Drosophila melanogaster: one gene and its partner. The protein of the gene in region 2 interacts with the protein of the main gene of each other region in a pairwise test. Each region holds a gene or a part of one and is shown on either strand. Other genes may lie near its edges.

Region 1 (6,569 bases), about 10 Mb from region 2:
ACAATACAAAATATGCGATGCTCCAGCAGAGCCTCCTTTAAAGCTTGTCCACCCGTTCCACACTGAGTTTGATGTCCGACTTGGGCATCAAGAGCAGTCTCCGGTTGTCGTACTCCACGGGAATCGAGGTCTCCGCAGAGGGAGCGTATCTGTGCTGCCTCAGCAGAGCCACCAGGCCCACCAGAAGCTGCTGCTCTGCAAAGCGAGCGGCAATGCATCCTCGCAGGCCATCGCCGAAAGGCAGGAACGCAGCTGCCGGGCGGGATCGCCTTGCCTGTTCCTCAAAGCGCTCCGGGTAGAACCGCTGGGGGTTTTCATAAATGCCAGGATCCATGTGTATCGCCGCCGTTGGTATCAGCACATTGTTGCCTTTGGCAATTACAAACACCGATCCGGGCACTTCGAATTCTTTGGTAGCCCGGCGTAGCAGGAAGGGATGTGGAGTGTGCAGGCGAAGCGTTTCTAAAAAAAAGGTGAAGTCATTGGAGCTATAAAGAGCTTTTCAATATTTGGTACTCACCATTGAGGACTTGCTTCGTATACCTGAGCTCCCTTAGGCACTCCGGTGTCACTTGGCCACCATGCTCCTCCAGTGCCTTGTTAATCTCGAGCCTGGTTCGATCTTGCACCTCAGGCTGGCGGGCCAACTCGTAGAGGCAGAATGCTAGGGTGGCATTCAGGGGGCCCAAGCCAGCCAGAACGAAGCCGAAGGCTTGGCCCGCAATCTCGATGTCGGTGAGCGGCTTTTCTGCGTTGGAATATAGCTGCAGAAAGGTCTGGAGTGGCTGGCGATCCCTTCTTCGATGCAACTGCAACTGCGACAGGGCCACTTTTTGGAAGTAAGCTGTAGCAGGTTCTGCGTAGCTTTTGTACTGAAGAAGGCGAGCGATGAGCGGAAACTCAAGCGCCAGATAAGCCTGCCACATCCTAAAGTCCGCCCAGTAGTTGCGCGTCCACTTAGCGAACTCCACGTTATCCTGCCCTACTAGTCCAAAGGCCATTGACGCCATAACGTCCGTATTGTATGCACCCACGAGTTCGCTTATATTGATAGTTTGAAGGCTCTTTTCGCCCAGGTCCCTTTGAATTCTGGAGGAGATTTGCGACAGTCTGACCAGCAGCTTCTGCATGTTGGCCGGAGTGAAAACCTCTGCAGATTTGGCGTGCAGTGACCGCCACTTGTGACCGTCCAGCTGAAGGAGATTATGCGACAGCGGCTCTCCACTGGGATTACTATAAAGGCCTCGGGACGTAAAGTGTCCCGCGTCGGTGAAGATTATTTGGTGGACTAGCTTCAGGTCCAGCGCCAAGATGAACGGCTTGAGGCAGGCGTAGAATCCCACAAACGGCGCCCTGCCCTTGTATGCGGTGTAGATATCCTGCAAGGCGTCCTGGGCATGCCTCTTCCCGCTCACCACGCCCTTAATGTTGCCCCACAGGAACTTGGGCTTTTCGTGCAGGATCCCCCGCCGTTTCCAGTAGCCCAGACTGAACTTGACCAGGGCGTAGACCACTGACAGCGCACCCAGGGCGGTGAGCAGGGTGCGGTGCATTAGATCCATGCTCACTCAGCTGTCTTTTCCGGCTTTTACAATATGTTCGCGCTGTTTGATATGCTTAACAGCTGGCAGTAGCTGCTTGTCGAGGTTCTGGGGCTCAATGCCGCCGGTTTATCAGCGCCATTATCGTGCGGTCCGATTTAATAATTGATAAGGTCCATTGAGTATCGGCCGCTAAAATGGAAGAGAAACGTGGCTATAAGGCAACTTTCAGTAAGTAATAGTAATCAAGAGCTGAGCGGGATTTATTGCTAAAATAGGTACGGAGAGTTGCGACTACGGCTGCAAGATGAGGCAGAGGTTGTACGTGCTGCCGGCGAACTCGTCAACGGGCACCCAACGAACGTAGCCCAGATCGATTAAGTGCTGCCGGGAGCTGGGCACGCCTACGAAATGCGGATCCTAAAAAGGGAAGCGAGCGATTAGTTCACCAGTTCATAAAATGAGCTAATTCGCTGACTCACCACCACCTGCAGGAAGATGCGACCGCGTGCACTGCAATGGTAGCCGGTAATAGCCTTGGAGGCGGTGTCACTCAGACCGCCCATGGCGACGAAGCCTTGGTACTTCTCAAAATAGCTCCGAAGCTCGCCGAGGATCTCGTCCGAGCTAAGCTCCTTGGCGTGAAGAATCTTGCACGGCACCTGGTGCAGCACATCGATCACGTAGAACTCCTCGAGCGTTCCGATCCAGTCGCGCGAGCCCACGAACTCTGGACCCTTGTCGCCGATGGCCACCAGGATCTGCTGAATCTCCCGGATGGAAGGAACATGACCGCTCGACCCCTGTCGACGTTGGATCCAGGAAATGGCCGATTGCAGGGTGCGGTAGCCACAACCCCAGCCAGCATCCTGGTGGCCATCGCATCCGTAGTGGAAGTAGTTAAAGCCACCGCGGGTAACTAGCGTCCGCCCGCCTTCAGTGGGCGTGGTCAGCGCGCCTTGCGGATCCTCTAGAAGTGGATATGCATAGTCCTTTGGTACAATTTTCAAGGACGCCGCGGAGGAGTCCCCAAACTCTTCTGCACACTTTTCCGCCGCCATAGGAATTGTTTTCGAAACTGAGTAATTTGATAGCCTAGGCCTGATTCACCTGCTCCTTTTCTTTTTTGTTTATTTACCTTGGGCAGCCGTAATTTGTTTTGTGAAAGTGAAATCGCAGCAAAGAAATTGGAATGTTTTTTTTTTTGCTCTGGCTAGAGATGGTACAAGCTGAATCGTCATGCACCAATGACAAAGTCAGCCAAAATAAAATAACAATAATGCGGAAAATAAAATTAACGAATATAAGAATGAGTCATGATGAAAGGCTATTCCGCCCAAAATTTTGATAAAATTTATATTTTTATATTAAGCAATGTTGTCATAATTGTTTTACTACAATTATCCATCACCAACTCTCTCATCGAATTATCGATAACAGCCCGTTTGTAGCGCCTAAATTTAAACGCATCTATTTGGTTTTCTCTTATTTCTCATGCATTTCAAATTTTATTTGAATTATTAAATGTACATTATTGTGTTTAGAGTTCATAAATATGTTTTCGCATTTATGTGTGTGGGTGTCTCAACGCTTTATATATTAACACCATTCCCCTTGAATTGTGTTCGTTTAATTTTTAGTTTTTGGTGACCAAACATTAGTACATCGTTTTTAATAATTGGTAAAATTTGTAGCACTCCATAAACTACGATTTGTAAAATTGAAATATTTGCATTATTGGTTTTCAACTATTTTCGGATTGCTGATTGTTACTGAGTTGCAGTTTTGTTAATGTTTTAAAGTTAGCTTAAAAATGCATTTTGGATAACTTCGCCGAGTTTTACAATAAATATATGGGATGCCGTTTGCAATATGTGTCTGTGCACCAATTAAAATACCTTAATTACGTCGTGCGTCTAAATGTTTTGTTATCTTCTCGTTTTTGGTTTGTGCCAGCAACGGTTTAAAAGAGGTCGATTGAAAATTATAAGTACAATCATAAAATACATTTATTAAATATATTTAGCGATATCACCACGATTTGTTGTTATTGTGCTCTTAAAAATCATGTAACAGAAAAGATTAATATGCTAAATTATTAATATTATTATATTTATACGTATATGTTATGTATGTATGCTATAAATATTCATACGATTTGTGACTCCTTACTACATCGGATTCTCTTCATAAATGCAGTCAAAATACGCTTGCGTCTAAAAAATACTTTCTGCTCCTCTCGTGTTCGCGTGTTCCAGTGTGCTTAACTGATTAACTGCTTAACTTGTGAATCTGCACTTTCTTCTTACCAAACTACAGTCAAGTCTACATCTGAATCGTTGCTTTGGGGTGAAAACTACTATTTTCTCCGGTTCTGAGTGTGTCTGTGTGGCTAAGGGTGGGCTGATTTTTTTTAAAACATGCTCTAATAGTGGCAAACATTTATCTTTGGCTATTTGGAATCGTGCAACGTCAGTGAATCTCAAGAGAGTGGATTTAATTACAATTTAACAAAATTGTTATTAAGTAGTAAAGTGGAGTTTAGCACATTAGCGCAACGTATTAATCTTTGTATCGTTACGAATAAGTATTGGCGTTTCTCTTGGTAAGACCACACAGATAACTTCCAAAGATAACTGCTTACCCCTAAAGTATTTATGTTATGTTCAATCGTGCAAATCGACCCATCCCACTGTGAGGCATCCTGCGGTGCTGGGATAAATGCAATGACAGTCCCCGTTTTCTTACAAGGTGCAGTATTCGGTGAGAATGGGTATAGACTTCAGCAGCTCGTTGATGTTATGCTGTTCCAGATGCGCCACCAGCTGCTCGGAAGATTTGAGCAAGTTCACGCAGTTCTGCAGGTTCTCGACAATCTCCTTGGTCATCGTGTCCGACGACTTGCTGATGAGCTCGGCCAACTTCTTGCCGACCTCGCACTTGACCAGCTCGTCCTGCAGCAGCTGGGCCTGCGCCGCCTCGCTGGGCTGCGACAGGTACACCACGGACAGGATGCACAGGGCAATCAGCGCCTCGTTCTGCATGACCAGGTGCTGAGCTGTGAGCATGCTGACCATGGCCTCCACGGTGCCCTCGTTGGCAAGGAACTCGCTCAAGCTACTGCGATCGTAGTCTTGCGTTAGCGGAATCTTGTCGGCAATCTGTTCGGCGGGTGCATCGCCCTTGCGCGGCAGTGCGTATGCGATTTTGCTGAGGTAGGCGTGCTTGATCAGCCAGGCCATGAGGCGCAGAGACTCGCCGGTGACGCCCGCATAGTCCGACGATTTGCTCCAGTGCACCAGCTGCTCGATCAGAGTCTTGTTCTTCAGCAACTCCAGTGCGAGTTTCTCTGGAAAAGCAGATGTTGTTAGAGATGCGGATCGCGTGCGGTTGTTGCCACTACTCACCCTGTCCGTCGACGGTCATGCGAAGTGTGCCCAGCAGCTTGAAGACGACTGGTGGCTGGTGTATTTCGAGCATGGGAAGAATGGTCTGCACCAGGCCCGCCTGGATTACCGCGTTCTTGTTTGGCTTCGGGATGACCAGGTTGCGCAGCGCGGAGAGAAGAGCGTGCTGCAGGCGCACATCGTCCTTGACGCCGTTGTTCTTGGCCAGCACCTCGAGCAGCTTGTTCATGGTCTGCTGCTCCACAAAGTAGATGCAGTGGCTATCGGTGCGCGCAAAGTTGCCCAGGGCCAGCACGCCGGTGGTTAGCAGATCGATGTCCGTCGAGTCCAGCCAATCGACCATGTTCTTCAGCAGCGGCGTGGTGTACAAATAGTGCATTGAGTCATCTAGAACAATAGTACAATAATTAGTTTTGAAATGGAACAAGTTGAAGAATTTGTCGACAACATTCTAATTCATATGATCCGAAACTTACCACCAGTAAGGATTAATACGATGAGTTCGCAGGCGAGTTTCATCAACGCCCTGGCCTCACTTGTGCTGGCCAGAGTCTTGTACTTTTCCAGCAGGTTGTAGATGGTTTCGCACAGACCGTCCTTGGCCAAAATAAGCTTGACTTCGTCGCTCTCCGCCTGGTAATGGAGCAGCTCCAGGCACATCTCGGCAAGATCGGGATTCGTGGAAGCGGCCAGAATGCGAGACAGCTGGATATTCAGGGAAGAGTCGAAGTTCAGATCCGACACGTTCTCGGTGAGTATACTGAGCAGTGGAAGCGTGTTCAGCAGCAGATCCTCATGCTGTTCCACATTGGAGGCGCCAATGTCGATGATGCCTTGCAGCTTCTTCATCACGCCCAACTCCATGGCCCGCTTGGCCAAGCCCTCGCCTCCGAGCAAATAGTTGGACAGCAAGCCGCCGCGCACTTTGATGAATTGCGCCGCATTGGCCACGTCCTCGATGGTTGTGATGTCCAGCAGTCGCAGTAGAACAGCATCGCCCTCCAGCTCGAGTATTAAGTCCCTGGCTTCGTCGTTTAGGTAGCAGATATTGCCCAGTGCCCGACAAATCTGTATGGGCAGCTCCATACTGCCGTCGGACGTGGGCACTTGTCGCAAGCACTCCAGAAATGCGGCTATTATATTCCTCTTGGTGAACTTCTTGCGCTGCACCTCGGACTTGGTGATCTCCGCAATGCACTTGGCCGCCTCCTTGCGCACGTTTGTGTCGTCGCACTTGGTGAGGCCCAGAAAGCACTCTGCCAGCTCGTGCTTATCGAAAAGTTTGGGGTCCTTCGTCGCCGAGATCTCGCAGAGCAAGTTGGTCGTGTTCGCCGGACTGACACTGGTCGTCTTCAGCTTTTCAATCAAATCGTCGATTTCAGCTGCTTAAGGCGGTAAGAAAAGAACATTGGTTAGTTAGGGCACTTGAACAACATAAAGGGTCATCTTATTGTTTTGGCAACTAAATGTTTCCCTGGTCATTGGAATAAAGTTTGGTGATGATGAGTAACGTGAGTGAGTAAGTAAGAAAAGAAACCATCAATTATAAGTCAAGTTATGAGTGGTTGTATTACATATCCAGCTCCCATTTAAAGTGTTCTTAGTTTTTAACTATTTAAAT
Region 2 (6,411 bases):
GACACTGCTGCGGAGGGAAAAAGGCAAATCAGCTCCTCGGTTGCTTCTTGAACTGCCTTCTCTTTTGGTGACATTTACTTTGTGAAGCGGTTTTATTATTATATATTATTTTTGGGCAGAAGCCCGGAAAAGCAGAGCATGGTGTGACCAGAGGGTTTGAGGAAGCATTAGACACTTTCGATATATTATCGATACGAGAATAATATATTTAATAAACAGAATTAAATTAATATGTAAACTTAATTCTCGTTGCTCTCGAACTATTAATTTAGTGTACAATACAGCCTTATAATTTAATTTAAAAATAAACAGTTAATACGTCACGTGAATTGCAATCGATACTATCAAACTAATATCGTTGATTGCCCCACCTCAAATCGATATGGCACATTATAGTGGCGGCATTTCCTAAATAAACTGCCGCTTTTATTTGGCAGTTGGGTTGAATTTAAGCTAAAATTTCACTCATAAATGAAGTGTCGCAATGCCGAGCAGTGCAAAGAAGTCGGACTCTGCAAAGAGCAATAGCTCGACGCCACGAAGACCGCGAAAGCGCAAACGAGTGGATCGCCAGAGCCTGGACTCGCAGGTCGATGAGGATGCCAAGGAGATCGATCGCCGGCTACGGAAAGTGGCCAAGAAGAACTCCATCAGTGCCGAGGACATGCAAAAGGTGGTCCGGAAGGTGGTGCGCAACGATCATGTTCTGGCATTAGTCACTTTGAAGGCGGAGGACGAGCTGGCGCGGGAGAAGTTGGAGTCGGCGGAGCAGCAAAAGCGGGGTGCCATCATCATAACGGACACTCCATCTGTGCCCAAGCTAACGCGAGCGAAAGCACGGGAACTGAACTGCACGCCTGGGATCTCGCTGCCCCAGCTCAATGAAACTTCCACCGACAATAATGGTATAGAGGCTCTAATACGTGAGGATTTGCACTCTGATGAGGAGGACGAGGAGTATACCTTCAAGGAGGAGGACTTTCATGTGAGTATAAACATTGAGGCCAATTGATCGTTGTTCAATAATTGTTATTATTCCTTTATTATCAGTCCGATGATGATCCTAACACTACAGCATCGGATTTCGACTCCAATCCCTGCACGCCTCAAACTCCTCTTACTGCCAATGAGGAATCTCCTATCAAATTCTCTGATGACGGTTGTTTCAAGGTGCCGTTGGACAGAAATTTTCAGGATAAAGAGGATCTTAGGATTGCCACTAGAACGCGCTCCAAATTTTGTTTGCAGCAAACTACCATTGAGGATTTGCAGTCGGAATTTGTCCCGCCGGACGTGGAGCCTAGCGATGTGGTGGAGAACGAAATGACCGCCAACGATGCGGATTGGATGCAGTTCCTCAATGACTTTACAAAGCCTTTAAGTATGTAGTATCAATGGATGCTTTTATGCTCTCCCTAACTTTAATATCTTACAGACAATACGGTCCAGGGCGACGATGATGATCCTATTAACGATCCAGAATATGTGGCCGCTGATCACTTGGAATCGGAATATGAGAACGCCGAGGAGCTGCGCGATGTAAATATATCTAAAAAAGAGTTAACTGACCTGGTCTCTGAGCTGTTTGCTGGTTTGCTGGAAGAAGGAGTCTCTCTGGAATCGATTGAATTGGAAACACCTCAAAAATTCGTTGAAAGTGCCAACGTTTCGATGATTCCCATTGATCAAGTGTCCCGTAACATCGATTTTGATGGCCAGCAGATAAATGCTAATCAGCAGGAGCTGTCCGTTTTTCAACCTAATCTAATGCCGCCTCCTTGCGAAGGGAACGAAATGGGCATGGGTGTGCCTGTCCCTGTGGCTGTGCTGCAGGAGGAAACTGGTGGATCCGCTTGCAATGTGGTAAACATACCTTCCGAGGCGCTGACTGTTCCCCCCGAACTAATAGCTGTTCCAATACCTGGGCAACCTAATTGCTTCCAAATCGCCAAAGTTGTAGGCAATGATTCAACTGTTGGTCTTCCATTAACTGAAGAGACACTGCAGAACTTTTCTAGCTTGCATCCAATGGAACCCCCCGTGGTAGCTGCAAGCAATGGAGATCGATATAAAAAACCATTTGATACGAACTTCACCTGGGAATACATCTCGGTTAGGAAACATATATATTCGGAGTATGAGGAAAAGTTTGAGAGCCTGCGAAACGTAGAGCCAGTAAACCTCAATCATCTCGCCAGGAGCAGGGGATTTACCCAGTCTCAGCATGATATGCTTCAGCAGCAGCTTCGCATTCACACGCAGTTGCTCAGTCAAAGCTATCTGCAAACCTACTCCCATCCTACGTTGTACCCCATGGCCAAGAAGCCCAGAGAAATGTTGGAAGAATTGCACAAAATGGCAACTAAAGATCCCAGTTTTAATTGCTGGAATCTGCAGGAGGCTGTTCAGCTGGTTAGAAAATGGGAACATGATCTGTCCAGTGATGAGTTTAAGGAGGAGAACGAGAAGATGATGGACTTCATCAATAAGGAAACGGATCTGACGTAAGTTGGTGAAACTTTAAACAAAACATGCTGCTGTACAACTTGTATTTACTATTTTAGTGATGGCCACACGCGCCAGGTTCCCAGGCTGGCGCCTCGTATTATGGATCTCATGCTGGATAGCCGGGTGTTTATGTATCCGCAGTACCTACCCCGTATGGCGTTTCAACCGAAACTGACTCAAACCACCGCTTACGCACCATCCGAATATCAGCTTATTGCCATTGGCCTAGAGAAGCACTTGGCATTAATGGTAAAAGCCAAGAGACAACTACGCAAAGGTGCAGATCCCATTCGCGTTGCCTGTAAGCGAATGATTAAGGATACGATTTGTGGAAAGACTGCCCGCCGAATTTTCTTGAAAATCGCGGAGCTACGCAACTCAAAACAGTACAATCCAGTGAAGTATTTCTTTGAACATCGTCGAGCACCGCCCGCTAACGCCATCCTTTGGGGATTCGCTGGTGGGCTGGTGAGAACTCCGCGGGAACGACACATGGAGCTTCCCAGTGGCTGGCAATACTACATTGAGGTAAGGAATACAATGGGTTATTATCGGATACATTGTTTAACATTTAATAAGCATCAAAAAGGGGGAAAATCTCAAAGGGTAAATAAGATGGGATTAGGAAAACTAGCTTAGTTGGTGGCCCACTCGATCTCTGGGTATGAGGCGCAGCTCGGATCCGTGCTTTAGGAACACATTACCAGCAGTCTGCTGTGGGCTGATGCCAATTCCATCGTCCGTGATGATGGCACTCGTCTCCGCCGGAACCTTGAACTCTTCAGAGGCGAATTTCAGCACAGCCGTAAAGGGAGTTCCCTCCGGAACACTAAGCACCTTAAAGGGCAGCTTGGGGTCCGAAGTTAGCGTGATTTTGAAGGTTACTTTGCTCATAGTGGAATGTGCAGACGTGGTCAGTTTTGATACTCTATGGGAATAAACGGGTTTCCGATGTTTTCCACAGGCAGAGTGTTTGAGCCCTGGTGGTTAAAGTTTAAACAAGTATAAATTAGTTGGTTTGAAAATAGTTTTAAGGGGTATTTTATTTAAAAACAATAAAATATGTTGACGCTCTTACTTTAGTGCGGTCAATATTACGATAGGCAAGGCAGCGAGTTATCGTCTGTGATGAGTAATATTTGCATAAATGTACCTATGTCCGTACCTAATTAGGAATACATGTTTAGAACTTTATTAATTTTTCTCTTAAATTTTAAGTAATATACTTGCTAGTGATTGTTGGCAGAATTATTTTACGAAATAAATCACTGGTCATCGGTGGCTAGGTACCATCGACCAAAGTTATCGATATCAATATACATAGCTTGTGCCATCGCTGTGTTTATAAATCGCGGACAATTTTCAATCTATTATTTTTCAGAAAACTTGGGATCAAAAGCGCACACGTCGCAATTTTAAAGCATCGAAAGCATCGTCGGTGGCTAGTGCTTCTTATTTGGAGTTTGTACGCGAGGCGGTCGGCGAGGACCTGCTGCTGCCAGAGACTTTTGGTCAGGCTGCGGTCCCCAATGGCAGTGCTGCTGGTTCGGAACCGCCCAAGGAGAGCAAACCGAAGAAAAGGCCAGCGCAAAGGAGACCCCGCCCTGCGGAAAACCCACCACAGCTTACCATCAATGTGAATTATGTTTTTGGCGGGAATACGAGCGCGGGAAACATACCCGGGGTCTCTGGGGTTTCGGTGCCCTTGGTGGCCGGCGGAAATCTGGCCGAGAACGTACTGAACATCAATCGCAGCTTATACACCGCCGCCGAGTGCAGTAGTCTGCTGGCCTTGCCGCCTGCTCCTCCACCATTGGATGAAAATGCTCCGCCAGCCATCAACTTCACAGTAGACAAGTTCACTAACACACTACAAATCTGCGAATTGGAGGAATCCAGCAAGGCCGTACAGCCGGATCTGTTGCCTGCGCAGGATACCCCTTCCGTCCCAGGCAGAAACGCCAAAAGGGCGCGATACCAAATCTTTAAGCCAAAGGTTCAATCCGCCAATAAATCGCGAAAAGGGTCAACACCAACCCGCAGTCGATACCATATATTGCGCGAACGTTTGCGCCATAAACTAAGCCAGCGCTGTCATTCCCTAATCACCACCTATGAATCCTACCTGCGTCATCACATCGAAAAATATAAAGACTGCGAGTTGGTACAGGTCGTGCACAATCGTTTTTTCGCCCTCGAACTGTACACTCAACTTCTGGTCGATCTGAGGATGTTCTGCAGCAATACAAACTCTAAAACGGCAGCGCAGCCAAAGAGATCTAGGAGTGATGATGAGGCGGCGAAGCTGAGAAGAGCCAACCGGCAGGAGGAGATGCTTCGCCAAATGCTCCAGCCGGATACTACAGAAGAGCGCAATCGCAAAGATGCCAGTAAGTTTTAGTTCAATCCCATTTAATGAAATTCAACTTGAATAATTTTATTATTTTGCACGTTCAGTTTTTGCCATGAATTTTTATGAAAAGGTAGAGGAGGCCTTGCTGAGTGCCAATCGCCTAGATGATTGCAAAAAATTCAACAGTATTTTGCAAAACTTCGACCCCAGGCAGGAGAAAGTTTCATCTTTGTATTTGGTATGTATCACTTAAGTGTCTTACTCTTATTGCATTCTAATTTTTTTTTGGGGTTCTTAGAAAGTGGAAGAAATTTTGCTACCCACTCATCCCGAACTGGCTGAAGTATTCCTCAACTTTTTGCTACCTGCCGAGGCCGCTGAGATGGGAAAATTCTTTGAGCACTTTATGATATGCAATGCTACCAACTTTATCAACAAACTTAACATTTACTTCAGTAAGCAGCCAGCTCAAATCAGGAAGATTTATGCCTGTCTAAACGAGTTGGCCGAAATGCCTAATGTCAGCATGAAAAAAGTTGAAAATAAGATAATGCCCTTGCTCAAGGGCAATCAATTTCTGATCGATTGGTTTGTGCAACAATTCCCACAGGGAAAACCACCAAAAAGGTAAGAATGGTAAACAAAATACTCGAGATTGATTTAATGTAACATTGTCTTTTATTTCCAGAATCCTTTCTCCTGTAGAGACCATAAATTTGCATGACGTTCAAAACAATACAACGGGAGAATATACGGAAACTATTCAAGAGTTTACAGATGTACCTACGCCAAGTAAACCAGGTTGTCACTTAAAGTATATCAATGGTCGCATATTTTATGGAGCCAAGATCCTATTGCCTGCCAAACTGTCTTTTATGGCTGCCAGTATTTACAATGAACAATCTCATGACGTGCCACCCGTCTCCAGTGACTCGATAAACTGCGCCCATGGTATTCGTGCCCAGGGAGAAAAACTTCTTAGTATGGCTTCCAATACAGATAGCGACGATGGCGCGGATCGGAGTGAGGAAGATGATGCCAGCCGCGCCTTGATTATTGATACCACGAGTGATGAGCAGAACAGCTGCTCATCTATTGAGATGTGCGATGAGACAGGCTTAAGAGCACATGCAATCAGATTGAATCCCGGCTTGTATACCAACTCAAGCTTTAACAATGCAGCGACCAGTACGCCCAATCTGGGCAACTCTCACCAATCCCATCATCCGCACGCCAAAAAAACTGCCATAAACTTTGGTGAAATATCCCCACGCAAGCAATCGGCATTTAACAACTCGGGATTGAGTCCCTTATCGGCGGCCCCCAACAGTTCCCCTCAAGTCGACAAACGAAAGTCACCTACTAAGAAGATCCGATCTCCTCTTAATCAAACTCAGAGCAGACAACGTGCCAATAATCAGCCAATGGTTGTTATCCATGAGTCTCAGCCTTCATCTTCGCCAGCCATTGAGTGTGCAAAGCGCTTGCGCACGCTGATCGATCAGGAGAGCGTGCGGGATGCAGCAGATACAAAGGCGGGCATTCGAATT

The links.
Region 1: the proteins of Ufm1 (region 2) and Ufsp1 interact in binary tests that used the Drosophila melanogaster proteins (3 or more experiments, as listed by UniProt).

The regions. Positions count from the first base shown.
Region 1 is NT_033778.4:6,972,268-6,978,836, forward strand, and holds Ufsp1 (UFM1 specific peptidase 1), read right to left. Parts: upstream 2,867-6,569; 5' UTR 2,603-2,866; coding exon 2,024-2,602; intron 1,962-2,023; coding exon 1,836-1,961; 3' UTR 1,771-1,835; downstream 1-1,770. Other genes in the region: Cyp6u1 (cytochrome P450 6u1), read right to left, coding at 38-462, 521-1,562; vimar (visceral mesodermal armadillo-repeats), read right to left, coding at 4,286-4,890, 4,949-5,335, 5,425-6,333. UniProt on the Drosophila melanogaster protein: Thiol protease which recognizes and hydrolyzes the peptide bond at the C-terminal Gly of UFM1, a ubiquitin-like modifier protein bound to a number of target proteins.
Region 2 is NT_033778.4:16,949,229-16,955,639, reverse strand, and holds Ufm1 (Ubiquitin-fold modifier 1), read right to left. Parts: upstream 3,804-6,411; 5' UTR 3,587-3,803; intron 3,489-3,586; 5' UTR 3,403-3,488; coding exon 3,139-3,402; 3' UTR 3,059-3,138; downstream 1-3,058. Other genes in the region: mute (muscle wasted), read left to right, coding at 485-985, 1,051-1,381, 1,436-2,504, 2,565-3,036, 3,890-4,898, 4,966-5,099, 5,160-5,488, 5,550-6,411. UniProt on the Drosophila melanogaster protein: Ubiquitin-like modifier which can be covalently attached via an isopeptide bond to substrate proteins as a monomer or a lysine-linked polymer.